2 linked regions of the Oryzias latipes genome follow. The protein of the gene in region 1 interacts with the protein of each later gene in a pairwise test. Links are inferred from orthologs where the notes say so. Each region holds a gene or a part of one and is shown on either strand. Other genes may lie near its edges.

Region 1 (8,274 bases):
GAGGAAACAAGCTATGCTACAGATCCAACTAGAACTCTGTGTGTCACAGTGAATCTACCTGTGATCAGCACTTATCTGGTGTGAAACAAACATTTTGTGTAACCCTTGTGCTATCTTAGATGACCCCACCCTTACATTGATGTGTTCTCCCCACCATGACAAAGGTGGATAAATGTGAAGAGGATTTCATGTAATCCATGGACACCAGTGAAGATCACAAATCATTGAAGAAAAAAGGTTCAGCGCACTGAGTGGGGTCATCTGGACCCCACAAGATAGCTCAGGGGTTAGCAAACAGTAAAGACGAATAGTTTCTAAGTTTGCATTGCAGCCTGTCAGATCACGTTTGTCTGCAGGGAACCCGTGGAGCTGTGACTGCGAGCTGCACCGAGTCTTCAGCAAGATCCTGCACGTTCGTCACCTCCACATCGACGACTACCAAAACGTGACATGTCAGGAGCCCCCGCAGCTGACGGGGGCGTCTCTGGCCTGGGTCGACAGCCAGCTGTGCATCGCAGAGACCGCCACGGTGCTCGTCATCACCGTCACCGTGCTGGTCACTGTGGTGGCCGCCGTGGTGATGGCGGAGAGGAACAGGAAGCGGAACCGCCGGAAGAACTGGGACACAGAGTCCCAGAGTCCTCCGTCTTGATTAGCAAAGCCCGATGATCATGATGACTGGGGCTCCAACCTTTCTGATGATCATCATAAGGATTTTTATTGTGAATCCAGAATTTATGACAGTTGCTGCTGTGTTTCATGACAGTTGTCTTTCCTTTTAACGTCAGAGATCTGAAGATTTATCGCTTCGTTGAGTAAATATCTTTTGGAGTTGGAAGAAGTCAAAGATGTAAAAGCTTAGAAGTTATGGTCCCAGACGTTGTTTAAACCCTAATAAAGCTTTTAGTCTTTTGAAATTGGGCAACATTTCGTTTCCAGATGTATTTTTTATTTAATTAGCGACATCATTAATTATTAACAAAACAATCTCATTTTACTATAAAACTGCCTCCTGAATCTCTCGAGGAAAACGTGTCCCACACCTCATGCAATAAGATCTGAAAACTTGCCTCCTGAAGTCTGACCTTGCATTACTCAGTGATGAATTCATGATTGTCCAATAGATATCTGCATGTTTGATGCCTTCAATACTAAAAAATAGAAGAGATGAAGAAGCTCCGATAAAATGCCGTCCATTTAGGAATGACTGCTCAAACAGCAGCAATGGGGAACCACAAGCTAAGGATCGTGCACGTCAAATTGGTGCAAAGGAGATTGTGGAATAAGCGCAAAGGCTGCTGGAACAAACAAACAGACTCCAGCCCCTGAAATGGTCTGATTTCCAGTTATCACAAGTTACGGTTGATTTCTGTCATTTGAACACAGGAGTGGAGCACTCAGACCACTGCAGCGCACTATTTCCCCTTTTTCCCTGCAGCAAAAAAAGAAAAACACAACTGTGTCAGCTTTTGTTACCATGACTGGTTCCATATCAAGCTCAACAATTGCAATTCCTAATTCTTTCTGTCTAATGTAAACATATTTACTAAAACAGAAAATACAAACACTTTCTACCAGTTTTTGTGATGTTTTTATCTTCTTTTGGATTTGTGTTAAAGTTGCACCAGTGAATTCCCATCTTCCAGGTATGCAAGACAAAAATGCACAACACTGCCTGCAGCGAAGCATCATCTTGGCAAATTATATTGCATGTTCAAAATTGATTTGATTTGTATCACTGCTCCCAGTTTTTTGTAAGTCCTACCAGAAAGCCCCATATTTAATTTGTATTAAAAGCATCTGTGCAAAATGCATAAACCGTGTTGTCATGTCTGTTTAGAAGTCACCTACTAAAGCCAGAATGGAAAGAAGTTTGTGTAAATTATGTAAATTGTGCCTATGGTTCCTTTTTAGATCCACATGAACTATACTAAAAGTAATGGGAAGTAAGACAGGAGCTGTAGATCCACCAAAATACTTCAGAAAAGATCATAAAACGTGGATACTTTATTCTTTTTGTCCCCGTAAACATAGACCCTGATTCACCACATGAAATTACAAAAACTCAAGGAACTTTGACTAAAAGTCAGAAAAGGCAAAGTAAGCAACAGTACACACACACACACACACACACACACTGGTCAAACCTTTACTTGTAAATGAAGTCCATTCGTGTCTCCTTCTGGACAAAAATCTCTGTGACTTTAACGTAAAAAACCCTTCTTATCTTCTTTCCGTTACAGAAGTCTCAATAAAGATGTGTGCTCAGCGTCGGCCATCCATTAATTATTACTTAATGTTATAAATCAAAGTCCACCTTTGAATCTTTTTTCTTTTTCTTTTAACTTGTTCTTTCCAACAACTGAGCAAACAGATGAGAGCTGGCGGCCATTTCCTTTGGACAGGTTTTACTACAATAAGGGGGTTATGTATGTATCTTCGGATAAGGGTGTATAGCCCATCGAGACGACTGTTGTTGTGATTTTGGGCTATACAAATAAAATTGAATTGAATTGAATTGAATATATTTGGATAAGCCCCTTTTTTTATTTTATTTATTTATTTATTACAAATTATATTTTAATATATATTTTCTTTCTCTTTTCTTACAGAGGGAGAAGAGAGAGGAAAAATGTGAAAGTTTTTCTCTGCAGAAGACATTGGACTCGTGAATAATCGTTACAAAACTCTCATATCAATTAGATTTCGAATTCTTGAAATTGATGACGACATATTTGCCGTTAAAAAAAAAAGTAGTGAGCATGGTGTCCAAATTACTTTTAAAATCCAGAGCACTACATAGTGCTGTACTGTGTAGTTTTTTAGTAGTTAAGGAGTAGGGTAGGAATTCAGACACAGCCACAAAATACTGGCTCTCATTGAATAAACTTTATTAGTAACAAATGTGGAACAAACGAGTTCACCAGCGCCCTCTCTGTTGAGACGGTGCTACTGCGTACCTCAACGACTTATCTTTTCAGTGCGGTTTTGTGTCACATTTTTAACACAAACGAGACATACATGAAACACATTAAATGTTAAATGGGAAGGGATGACATGCAACAACATTTTGTACAATTAAAGTTTATTTTAAAATAAAGCATTACATTTACGCTGTTATATATTTGGGGTGGTTAAGGGGTTGCTTTGCTAAAAATCGTATTGAGCCTAAACATGACCACACTCCATGGCACAGGACATGACAACGTCAAAAAAGCAATAAAAAGCATAAACAGTTAAATTATAACAGTAAAATATAAATTATTCTTGGCCTGTTTGGATTTTGACCAAATGAGGAGGAAAGAACCTGGCGGAAAATTATAAAAAGAAAAAAAAATAGAGCACCGCAACAGTCTGATGCAAAGTGACTGTTTTTTTGTTGTGAAAATGTTTTGGTTTATGAATAAATACACATAAATAATTTATACTAACAAGCAGATCTAAGCATAACATTATTAATTATGGATAATAGTAGATCAGGTTTTCCATAGTTGATGAAAACAAAAAAAGATTGAAGGATGGATAAAAAAAAGTGTTTCACTTTATCTACGCATGATTCTATCTTTAAAATAACAATGCAAGTCTTCTTAAAGCACATTTACCTTTTTTTTTCTTTTTTAGCAAAGCAATAAGGATAGAAAAGGAATTATTAGACGATGTGCTTGCAGACAAAAGCTGAAAAACTCGGGAAGTTTCTGTTGGAACGTCTGGTTGAAATGAACTGCAGACGTCCCGCCCTGCGCTTCCGCCTCTGTCCAGCAGGTGGCAGCAACGCTGATGAAAGCTGACAGTTCAGAGAAGAAGAGAAGGCGGAAGAAACAAAACCAAATCACCAGAACCGATCCGAATCTCTGCAAGGAGCCTCCAACGCCGTGGTTGGGATCGATACCAACAGTCCAGTTCTGATGCTGAGGGCGTGAACCCGGCCCGGTTTGTTTGTTTTTTTCTTTTTATCTTAGTGTTCCCGCCTCGAACCGGACCGGGTTGGTACTGATCAGGCATACCATAAGTCACTCACACAGCTGTAACGTGGCTTTTGAGCCGGTTCTGTTCGGATCTGAGTTCAGTTGAAGTGAAAGAATCGCAAAAAGTTCTGATCGCGACTGCGCATGTCCAGACATCCATGTGCCTTAAAAAGAGAACGTGTTTGGCACGGTAGATTGTTGTTGTTGTTAAAATGTGCAAACTACAGCAAACATACAGAACAAATGGAACTATTAAAATGCTAGGAGATGGCATATGAATACAAAACATGCATCATAATAAATTAAAACTGTTCATAGGCAGACAATATGTATTTATGATTATTTTGTTTAACACTATGGGAAATGGTGAGATTCTATTGCTTGAATTCTTACAGGGAAAAAAGTTGGGATGAAGAGAATGTAGCTTTGTGTAGATGAGACTGAAAAAAATAGAATCTATACAGTACAGACCTCATTTAAATGAATGGGAAGGTGTGTCCAAACCTTTGGTCTGTACTGGATGTCAATTGCATAGGTTGATTGGCAACTCTAAATTGTCCATAGGTGTGAGTGTGAGAGTGAATGGATGTCTGATTGAGGATATTCTACCCTGCGACAGACTGGTCGCCAGTCCAGGGCATCCCTTGCCCACGCCAAAGTGGCTGGGATAGGCTCCGGCAACCCCGTGACCCCGAAAGGGAATAAAACGGTTAAGAAGATGAATGAATGGATGTCAATTGCAATTTTTATGTTCAATTTTGTGTTGTTTTCATACATTCTTTTTTTTTTTAGGTAATATCTCACTCTCTAAATAAGTCACTAATTGTTTCTGGGTTTGTTTTACAGAGTGTACAGTTGTATTGACATGTTTTAAATCTTTACATGAACTGATTAGTGGAGTAGATTCTATGTAGGAATTCATTGATTCTCAATGAATCATTTCTGAGGCACTGTCCAAACATTTTTTCAAGTCAGGGACAAAGTTTTTCTAACAGAAGACAGCAGAAGAAACAGAAAAAAACATGTTGTACGTGGTCACACAGGTGGGCCTGTGGATTCACAGGTGGGCCTGCAGACTCTCAGGTGGGCCTGTGGATTCACAGGTTGGCCTGTGGATTCACAGGTGGGCCTATGGATTCAGAGGTGGGCCTGTGGATTCACAGGTGGGCCTGCAGACTCTCAGGTGGGCCTGTGGATTCACAGGTGGGCCTGCAGACTCTCAGGTGGGCCTGTGGATTCACAGGTAGGCCTGTGGATTCACAGGTGGGCCTGCAGACTCTCAGGTGGGCCTGCAGACTCTCAGGTGGGCCTGTGGACTCTCAGGTGGGCCTGTGGATTCACAGGTGGGCCTGTGGATTCACAGGTGGGCCTATGGATTCAGAGGTGGGCCTGTGGATTCACAGGTGGGCCTGCAGACTCTCAGGTGGGCCTGTGGACTCTCAGGTGGGCCTGTGGATTCACAGGTGGGCCTGTGGATTCACAGGTGGGCCTATGGATTCAGAGGTGGGCCTGTGGATTCACAGGTAGGCCTGTGGATTCACAGGTGGGCCTGCAGACTCTCAGGTGGGCCTGTGGATTCACAGGTAGGCCTGTGGATTCACAGGTGGGCCTGCAGACTCTCAGGTGGGCCTGTGGATTCAGAGGTGGGCCTGCAGACTCTCAAGTGGGCCTGTGGACTCACAGGAAACGGTAACAAAGTGACCTTAATAAAGTTCATGCAGAGATTTCTAATGGGAACCTGGTCCATCTTATAAAAAACCTCTTAGAACAGTTCTTAGTTTTCCCGCTCCGATCATTTTTTGATCTATTCACCATTATGTTGTTTTTGACTAAAATTTTTAAAAAATCTGTCGTTTTCTAGGACATAGTTCCTGCAGAGTGGCAGGAGTTCATTAGAAATTCCCCTCTGAACTGTGGTGCACAGCAACCCCGCCCCCCGTTTCCATCACATATAACATAGACCTTTTTGTCAACACTCTGTCCCTCACACCCCCAACCTAACACTAGCAGAAAATGGCGAGCAACATCAGAGCCATCTAGCTGTACAGTTTGGTAAAAATTGGACCCAGTCTGTTCTGGTTCTGGACCCACCTGCACCGTTCCTCTAACATCCAGTGGTTTGGTCCCTCAGGCCGGCAGCCATGGCCGAGGCGGGGGCCCATCTCACCTCCACCTCCATCGGTGAGCAGCCGTCCATCTTTGAGGTTCTGGCCCAGGAGTCGCTGCTGGAGGCCGTCCGTCCGGCGGTGCAGCACGCCGTCAAGGTGAGGCTCCAATAGTTCTGGCTCCTCACTAGAAGAACGCCAGCTCTGACTCTCTGACCGCTTCAGGTTCTGGCGGAGTCCAGCCCGGCCCGCTTTGGCTGTCTGTGGAGGACTTTTGATGAGCTCTACTTGCTTCTGGACCTGCTGCTCCAGAACCACTTCTTGTCCCGCTACAGCGCCTCCTTTTCTGAGAACTTTTACGGCTTAAAGAGAGTGTCAGAAGGGCGGGAACGTCCTGTGCACAAGGGGCTGCGCCGTCCCGCCCACTGGCGCTCTCTTCTTTTGCTGTGCCTGGTTCCGTACCTGCGGGCCAAACTGGAGGCCCGGCTGGTCCGGCAGAGGGATGAGGAGGACTTCTCCATCCAGTTGGCACGGTCGAGGACACGGAGGCTGTACAGCGCGGCGGTGGCGGCGTTCCCGTACATCAGCTCGGCGTGGCGCGTCTGGGTCTTCTGCCAGCAGCTGCTCTTCGTCTTTGGATCCTCCAGAACCCACAGCCCGCTGCTCTGGCTGGCCAGGGTCCGACTGACCCGACTGACTGCTGCAGATTTCCGAAACATCGAGGGGTCTGACGACCCCGCTCACAGCAGGTAGACCCAGTTCTGTCCTGGTTTTAGAGGTTTAGGTCCAAAGTGGCAGAAAAAAAATGTTCTTAACCATGTTTCTGTTTGGCTGCAGGGTCGGTTGGATGATGTCACAGGCGGCGAGGGGCGTGGCCACCTCTCTGTCCACCTTCCTGTCCATGGGCGTCTTCTTCTTGCAGTTCCTGGAGTGGTGGTACTCGCCAGACAACCAGAGCACCGTGAGGGGTCTCACGTCCCTGCCTGCACCCCCGCCCCCCCTCCACCTGCAGCAGGACTCGAACAGCCGGAGCTGCCCGCTCTGCCACAAGTTGTGCGCCAATGCCACGGCGCTGTCCACCTCCAGCTTCGTCTTCTGCTACCCGTGCATCTACGCGCACGTGAAGGAGCACCGCTGCTGCCCCGTCACAGGCTTCCCCAGCGCACCTCAACACCTCATTAAGATCTACGCGCCTGAGGGTTAGAGCGACGGCGCCTCCCGCTGGACTCACGCGTCCGCTGCTGAGAAATAAAATCACCAAGCCGTAGGCTTTTCGAACTGGCCCTGAACGCCACCGTCTGAAATGAAAGTCCCGCCCCAAGCGTCAATCTTTATTGAACTGAGCTCAATCAGTTTTGGCTCCTCCCTGTCCGGCGCTCAGAGTCCATTTGATCTATTTCACCAACAAATGAAGGAAGAAATGCTTTTGATGAGGCAATAAAGAAGTTCTGAATAAGATCAAAGTGTTTTCTGCTATGATCTCTGTTGTAGAACCATTGACTGCAAATGAGAACAGGACTGAGTGACTCCTCCCCTTTGGCGTTTCAAACAGGAAGTACCTGCTGGTCCAAGAAGCCAAAATTCCTTCTATAGAGAAATAAACAGCTGTTACTCATTCTATTGGTCAGAAGAACCGTTCTGGATCTGATATCTTTTTCCAACATAAACCTGATTGTCCTCATTTTTTTGTTTCTTCAAGTTACAAACCGTCCAATCAGATGCCTTATTAAAAGTAAGTGGTTCGAAATGCTTGATCGACTGTGTTCTTGTAGCTCGCTTTCAAAGGGGTGTGGACTTCCAACAAGCTCTCTCCGCTCCTGACGAGTAACTTCCATGTTTTTGATTTAGGGCACCTCGTGCCAAATGACTATCGGGTGAAAAGGGGAACAAACATCAGTGCCGTCCCACACAGTAGTACCTCCCACTTTCTTCTTCTGCCTCATTTTTTAGTGTTTCATTCTGATTTCTGGAAATTACTTTGTTTTTCGAAATGTTTCCCTTTTATTTTGTCTCTTTTTTCTGAATCACTTTTTTTTCTAGACATTTGTTTTGGGGCTGCATGGTGACAGTGGTTTGCATGTTTGCCCCCAGAAAAGAAGGCTCTGGTTCAAATCCCAGGCGGGACCTTTCTGGGTGGGGGTTGCATGTTCTCCCTGTGCAAGAAAATGGATGGATTTGCTCTTTTTTTATTGAAAAGTATATGA
Region 2 (7,841 bases), on another chromosome or scaffold:
GTTGGAGAAAAACAAAAAAAATAAAAACAAAACAAAAAAAATCTCTCTTCTTCATTCATTTTTCTTTCCTTTCTTTAATCACGGGTGAATTTCTGATCCATTAATAAATCCACGGCCTCCCACGAAGTAAGCCGCCTTTCCCTCCTCGCGTGCTTTCTTGATTTTCAGCCACAGCTCCTGCCGATTCTCCCTGTCCTCTTTAGTTAGGTCCTCGTTGAAGTGCAGGCCTTTGGCTTGGAGAAACCCGTTCTTCTTGGCCGCTCTCCAAACCTCTTCCTTCAGACGCCGGGAGATGAATCTGATCAGAACCCCTCGAGGCCTCGGGTCCTCCTGGCGTTTTCTTCCCATCCGATGAGCGACATCAACAGCATCGGGAAACTTTTTTTTTTCTGAGGGCAGAACATGCTGGCGAATGTTTATCACCTCCTCACGCACGTTTTCCTCTTCAGCCTCAGGAAGACCGTAGAGCCTCAGATTCCATCGTCGACCATAAGCTTCCACATCTGCAACCCGTGCCAAGCATTTCGATGTATATTCCTCATTTTTTTCCACACGTTGTTCCATAGCATCAACTTTGTCATTTATGAGTTTAATTTCGGAACGGACAGTTTCAACCATTTTTTCAAGAGCATCGCTTCTTGAGTTGATCAGATCGGCGAGCATGTTGACTGCTTCATCCGATTTCATAGACCAGGGCAAAGTAGGCCTTTTAGCAAGAGGAGGCTTACTTGGGGTCACTGGGAGTGAAGGAAATTCTTCCTCTGAAGTCACGGGTATGTCCATGCTGCTGCCGGAGTAGTCGTGCTCGTCGGCTAGTAACAAGGTAGCGGAGCTTTGTTTTTCTTTTGAAGATTCGCTTCTTTTAGGAGGTTTTGGCATTTTGAATGGTGGGAATTTTTAAAAAGTATCCAAAAACTTCAATCCACAACGTTCCCCGGTCGTTTTAGAGAAAAGGCAAAATCTTGCTGCTTCAAAAAAGCTCAATAAAAAAGTTAGGTGCTCGGAGCTCGATATAAACAAACCGGTCACGCCGCCATTTTGCCGGCCCCCGGAATTCCACAACTAGACCATTCTGACTGCTGTGGTCATTCTGTGTAGACTGTAGTTTGGAGAACACTGAAACATCGAAGAATATTAGGAGAACAGGTCTAAAGGCACCAAGACACTGTTTGATAAATACCTATAAGGTTTGAGTCACCAAAACATTAGAGCCTGATTTAGTTTGTTCACAGTCATCTATCTGGCCTTTTCTGATTGAACATTAACAGTCATTTTAGTATCTTGGGTTTAAAATGAGGCTTCAAATAGATTTTAGCGTCACTGGACAAAGAAAAACAAATGAGAGAAAGATTGGGAAATTGTTGTTTGACATTTTTATCACAAAACAATGATAGAATAAAACACACACACATTTAGGAAAAGTCAGGGTCCTTTTGGTTCATATTATTTTTGTAACAGTTTTGATGCTGAAAAGTTTGAAGCAGTCAAAAGGACCGCCGTGAAACCGTCAAAGTGAAAACCTTTACTGTGATGGGACTTTCTAAACATTCTGAAATGCAGCAATTCTAACTGACTAACAAAGTCTTTAGGGTTTGACGGTCCATATTTTTTTGTTTTTTGAATCCATCTGTAGGCGTCTTTGATCTTTAAGTTTTCCTGGTTGGTAGTTTTCTTCAGACTGTCCAGACCAGGGGTCCCCAAATCCAGGCCTCGAGGGCCGGTGGCCTGCTGGTTTTCCAGAATCCCTGCCTTATTGCTGATTACCTGGATCAGGTGTGTTTAGCCAATAAGGAGCTTCAATGTCAGGTTGGTTGGAAAACATGTAGGCCTGGATTCTGGGACCCTGGTCCAGACTGTTCTTGGTGCCACTGCCCTGCTTCTTCTCAGTTACCTCTGCCCTCCAAGCGTCTGATTGGCTGAACTCACGTCCAGGAGCTCAGCAGCAGACCGGACACACCTGTCTGAGGGCCTGAAATTTTCAGCTTTCTTTCCTCCATCAGGAGGTGTTGGGTCAGTGAGCTGACGCGGTCTGGTGTGTGTTTAGGATCCAGACTCTGGCTGCACTGGAGGAAGGAGGTGGAGCTTCTGTCTGACGTGACTTACCTTAGTCTGACCACACTCTCAGGTAAGCTTTATCTGTCAGACATGAAGGCGGCCTCTATTGACGCAACTCAGGTGTGGGTTTGGCCTCACAGGTTTTCAGACGTTGGGGGAGGAGTATGTCAACATCGTGCAGGTGGACCCCTCCAAACGGCAGATTCCCTCCCGGGCCAGGCGCAGTCTCTTTGTCCTGTTCCATGCCTTCTTTCCGTACCTGCTGGACAAGCTGCTGGTGTGTCTGGAGAACGAGCTGGAAGGCAGTCAGGATGGCAGGCGGCGGGCAGCATCGGCTGGGTGGGGCCTAAGCTGCTGGCTGAGGCTGTGGGTGCAGAGGGGGGTGTGCCTACTGACAGGGGAGCAGAGGAGGGTGTGGCTTTCAGCTGTGGGCATCGCACAGCAGACTGTGGCGCTTGTGCACCGCCTCCACACCACCCTCTTCTACCTCAGCAGCTCCTTCTACCACCTGTCAAAGAGAGCGGCTGGAATCAGCTACGTGAGTCCTTCATGCACCACATGGGGGGGGGGGCAAGGCACGTGACGGATCCCGGCCAATAAAAAACATCTGAAATGTGTCTTTTAAACCACAACTTTGCCTCCTAAACTGTGGGCATGGCAACGATACAGACCATCTGTCTGATGAAAACTGGTTCTTTAACGAGGTAACCAACGGAATCGCAGACAGAACATGTTTGAAGGAAAATCACATCCAAACTCTCACAAGCATCTTAAACATTCCCTTTAAAAATGTCAGGATATTTCCTGAAAGGAGAAGGAAGCTCCTGCTATTGGGCCTGAAGCAGGTCAGGGTGGTCCTTTCCCATGAACAGCACCGTTCCAAAACATACTGGGGGGTGGCTGTCACCCATGGCAACAGAAACAGAGAACGAGGCAAAATACTGATGCAAAAACAGTTTCAGCAGGAGATGCATCATGTTTGTGCACAGCAGCTGAGGGCAGGTTAGACAGGTTGGTGTGATGGGCTTTTGCTGTGGTGCAGCTGCGGGTGGAGGGCCTACGCGGGGACGACGCCTCAATCAGGACAACCTACAGGCTGCTGGCTGCTGTTTCGCTCCTGCAGCTGCTCGGCAGCGTGGCTCTGCAGGTGGGCAGCTTCAGGCAGAGACAGAGAGCCCGGCAGGAGTGGAAGCTCTTCAGAAGCCTCAGGTCTGTCTCCCCGAGTCAGGTCTATGTTACTGACAGACTGTTTTATCTTTGAAGCAGTTTTCATCAGTGAGGCGATCTCTTTGTTTGCAGTCCTGATCGCCCTCAGAGCCCCGCCCCTTCTGCCGCCCGCTGCATCCTCTGCCTGGAGGCCCGGAGGAACTCCACCTGCACACCCTGTGGACACCTGTTCTGCTGGGAGTGCATAACTGAGTGGTGCAACACCAAGGTAGGTCTGGCGTCCTGAAAAACAGAGCATGCAGCAACACTGCCCCTCTCCCAAAAAAGACCTAAACATCCCGGTACACTACAGTCCCTGACAAAAGTCTTGTCGCTTATCCATTTTGTAGAAACAAAAGCGTATAACCTCACTGTTAATGAATCCATTGGTTTTAGAAATGTCTCATATGAAAGCTAAAACCCTCCCAAATTATGTTCAATATACTAAAATATAATTGCTTCACTGAAGAAAGATTGATCATTTAATGAACACAGAAAGGTCACATTTTGGCAAGACAAAAGTTTTGTTGTCTACAGAGAGTAATGTGAAAATTTAACAAATAATTTACTTCAAAAACAAAATTATGTTGCATAACATCAGTGAATTAAGTAGTGCTACTGTGAGATCCATATTTAATATCTTGTATGACTTCCAGGAGCTTGAAGGACAGCATCCATGCGGTTTGACAATGATTCATACAATTTATGGATGAAGTCATCAGGAATAGCAAAGAAAGCAGTCTTCCATGCCTCCCAGAGTTCATCAAGATTCTTTGGTTTGGTCTTCCATGCTCCCTCTTTCATTCTACCCCAGACATGCTCAATGATGTTCATGTCTGGTGACTGGGCTGGCCGGTCCTGGAGCACCTTCATCTTCTTCGCCTTGAGGAACTTTGATGTAGAGATGGAAGTATGTGATGGAGCACCATCCTGCTGCAGAATTTGACCCCTTTTATGGTTGGGAATGGAAGAGGTAGCTAATACTTCTTGATATTTTAGGCTATTGATATTGCCTTCCACCCTGCAAATGTTTCGCACACCCCCATACAGGATGTAACCCCTGACCATGATTTTTCTGCCACCAAACTTAAATGTTTTCTGGGTGAATCTTGAGTCCATGCGGGCTCCAGTTGGTTTCCTGTGATGTAATTCAACTGAAGACTCATCTCCACCGTCTGCCACTTTTCCAGCGTCCATCCTTTTAGCAGGCTCTGGGCCTTGGCAAATGCCACACGTTTTTTTCAATTGCCTTTTGTTTAGTGCTGGTTTCTGGGCACTGCTTGGACCATGGAGGCCATTTTCAGATAGAACTCTACAAACTGTTCTGGTTGACACAGGGGCTTGAGGTGACCAGGCCTGGTGGAGCTCTGCTGCAGGGGAAAAGGGGCTGGCCTTGGATTTTCCAACCAACAAACGGTCCTCCTGAGCAGTTGTCTTGTGGGGTCTGCCGGACCTCGGCTTGTCAACAACATCTCTAGTCTCTTCAAATCTTTTTCTTATTCTTTGTACTTGACGCTGAGACACATTGAAGGTGTCAGCCACCTCAGCAGTGGATCTGGTCTTCAGTCTCTTGATAATCAACGCTTTGGTCTCAGGGTGAATCTTAGGCATGTTGTCAGAGGTCAGGTTGCAGTTGATGTGAAGGCCTGGTGTGCTGGGGTTCTTTTTAGACACACCCACTAATTGATTGATCAGTAATTGCTCACAGGTGAGGCTGTAATCTAGGATTGGGTGCATCATATGACAAGGCGACAAAACTTTTGTCTTGCCAAAATGTGACCTTTCTGTGTTCATTGACCCTTGTGCTATCTTAGATGACCCCCCCCCCCCCCCCTTCCATTGAGGTGTTCTCCCTACCATGACAAAGGTGGATAAAGGTGGAAAGATTTCATTTAATCCATGGACACCAGTGAAGATCACAAATCATTGAAGAAAAAAGGTTCAGAGCTCTGTCTAGTGGGTCTAGATGACCCAACTCCCAACGTTAATGTGCCTAGGATAGCACAAGGGTTAAATGATCAATCTTTCTTCAGTGAAGCAATTATATTTTAGTATATTGAACATATTTTGGGAGGGTTTTAGCTTTCATATGAGACATTTCTAAAACCAGTGGATTCATTAAAAGTGAGGTTATAGGCTTTTGTTTCTACAAAATGGATAAGCGACAAGACTTTTGTCAGGGACTGTATATTACCAAAAGTATTGGCTCGCATGCCTTGACTCCCATATGAACTGAAGTGCCGTCCCATTCCTAACCATAGAGTTCAGTGTGATGTGGGTTCACCTTTTGAAACTGTTACAGCTCCAACTCTTCTAGAAAGGCTGTCCTCAAGGTTGAGGAGTGTTTCTAGGAATGTCTGACCATTCTCCCAAAAGGTCATAGGTGAGGTCACACACTGATGTTGGTGGAGAAGGCCTGGATCTTAGTCTCTGCTGACTATGCAGAAAGTGGGTGACCTCTTTGCACTCTGAGCTTCAGCATCCTCTGACTCCTCTCCATCAGGTTACCTGGTCGACCACTTGGTGGCTGAGTTGCTGTTGTTCCCAAACTCTTCCATGTTGTCCTGATAGAGCTGACAGCTGACTGTGGAATATTCAGGAGAGAGGACATTTCACCACTGGATGTGTTGTACAGGTAGCATCCTATGACAGTTCCACCCTTGGATTCACTGACAGCGGCCCATTCTTTCACAAATGTTTGTAAAAACAGTCTGCATGGCTGAGGGTTTGATTTTATACACCTGTGACCAGGATGAGTTATTAGGACACCTGATTCTGATCATTTGGATGGGTGAGCCAATACTGTGGTTATACAGTGTATGTCTGCACTGCATCAGCATCCGGGTGTTTGTGTGCATGAAGCAGAAGGTTCATTCTACGGGGAGCATTTATTCTTCTTGGACAAACTCTGCACGGGGGGTTCTGGTCTGATGCTCCCTGCAGAAAATCCAGTTCAGGCCGTTTCAGGTTCATTTTCACAGATGTGATTGACAGACGCAGAAAAACCTGCAGTATGAAGAAAGATGCTGGACTGAGGTCCAGAACCACAGAAAACGATGCTGCTGATGTCACAGTAAACGACCACATCCATGCTCGTTAAATACATTTGACTGTTGTTTTTTTAATCGAATAAAGTTATAAAAATGTAAAACTGTTAAGGAATGGCAAAGTTTCCAAACATTGAACCTCCAAACCATTTTTAAAATACTAGAAGCCAAAGTTTGGGAAAAATGCTTTTTGCTGATTGGATTGGCCTGATGTTAATGAGAAACTTGATTACTTTGAGGATTTGGGCAGCCCCTCCCTCCGCTTGTCATGTCATCTGCTCTGAGCTTCTGAATATTGAATGAATGGAAATTAGTAAAAACTCAGAAATGCTGTAAAACTTTTGGGAAATCTGCAGAAAACAATGTAAAAACCATGGGAGAGGTGAAAAAGTGGAGTAAAAAGGAGAGAGCTCTGGAGGAAGTTTGGATATTTCCTTCAGTTCTTAATTCTTAAAAAATATTTCCATGTTTTCTAGTGAGCGTGAACCATCTATACATTTCAAAACTTTAAAGTCGAGAAAAGGAAAGAACCTGCTGGAAGAGTGTGGGTTAAATAGTCTGTGTGTACTCTGGGGATTATGTGAGTCCAATGATTTCTGATTTTCGGAAGGATAGACGGACTTTCACATGAATCTTAAATTATTTAAAATCCCAATGAAGGAATCTGGTCTAATCTGTGTGAGGAGTTCTGTTTGGGTTTTAAACTCTTCCCCTTCTGTCAACGGTCCATTCAGGATGAGCTCTACTTCACCAATGGTGTCTTTCTGCATAAGGTTCAGAGAAACCCATTCAGGTTGAGAAAGTAAATGTTTTCTTCAGACCATCACTGGTCCCGGTCCAACAGTCCTGTTAAAAACAATGGCAGATGAAGCTTTGGGCCGTCTGCTGAGGCGCCTGAGGATTTGCAGATGTTTATTCTTCCTTTGTTTCTGAAACAAATCCCATCCTAGCTGACCTGGACCTGCTGTCGGTGAGCAGGCATGCGTGCACGCTCCTCTAGGAAAGAGGCCGCAGACATGCTTGGGTCCAGCTAGAGGAGCCAAAGCTAGAGCTAAAGACCCGTGCTGATGTGTGCTCCTGTCCTCAGGCCGAGTGTCCTCTGTGCCGGGAGACGTTCCTGCCCCACAGACTGGTGTTTCTCAGGAACTTTAGCTAGAACAGCAGGACCGGCACCACACCGGAACAAGTCTTCTGCAGCGCTGAGCCCCCCCATGCTTGCTGACACTTGCTGAGAAAAACCCTTCTGTAACAGTTGTAAATATGACCTTTGTTTTTTACCAAGTTTGGTTCAAACCTGTTGAAACAATAAATTTCTTTCAGGTGCGAAAACAGCTGTTGGCTTCCGTGTGTTTATCTTCCACATAAACAATAATCCAGATTCATTTAGTGCACAGATTAAAGACAGATTTTTTAGAAACCTTCTGTATGAAGGCAAAACATTGGAACAGAAACCTCTTAGATATCCAATGTGTTTTCTAAAGACTTCCTCTGTCTCACAAAGCATTCAGCCATTGATTAGTTTGACCAGAAGTC

What was found.
Region 2: the proteins of pex12 (region 1) and pex10 interact in a two-hybrid assay, tested with the Homo sapiens proteins (4 studies listed by BioGRID, with this or other methods). The link is inferred for Oryzias latipes from reciprocal best matches to the Homo sapiens genes PEX12 and PEX10.

What each region holds. Positions count from the first base shown.
Region 1 is NC_019866.2:23,910,652-23,918,925, reverse strand, and holds pex12 (peroxisome assembly protein 12), read left to right. Parts: upstream 1-3,665; 5' UTR 3,666-3,930; intron 3,931-6,096; 5' UTR 6,097-6,106; coding exon 6,107-6,229; intron 6,230-6,295; coding exon 6,296-6,819; intron 6,820-6,907; coding exon 6,908-7,274; 3' UTR 7,275-7,821; downstream 7,822-8,274. Other genes in the region: insulin-like growth factor-binding protein complex acid labile subunit, read left to right, coding at 357-652. UniProt on the Homo sapiens protein: Component of a retrotranslocation channel required for peroxisome organization by mediating export of the PEX5 receptor from peroxisomes to the cytosol, thereby promoting PEX5 recycling.
Region 2 is NC_019865.2:33,557,309-33,565,149, forward strand, and holds the end of pex10 (peroxisome biogenesis factor 10), read left to right. Parts: intron 1-2,044; coding exon 2,045-2,125; intron 2,126-2,195; coding exon 2,196-2,593; intron 2,594-3,097; coding exon 3,098-3,264; intron 3,265-3,354; coding exon 3,355-3,490; intron 3,491-7,395; coding exon 7,396-7,464; 3' UTR 7,465-7,639; downstream 7,640-7,841.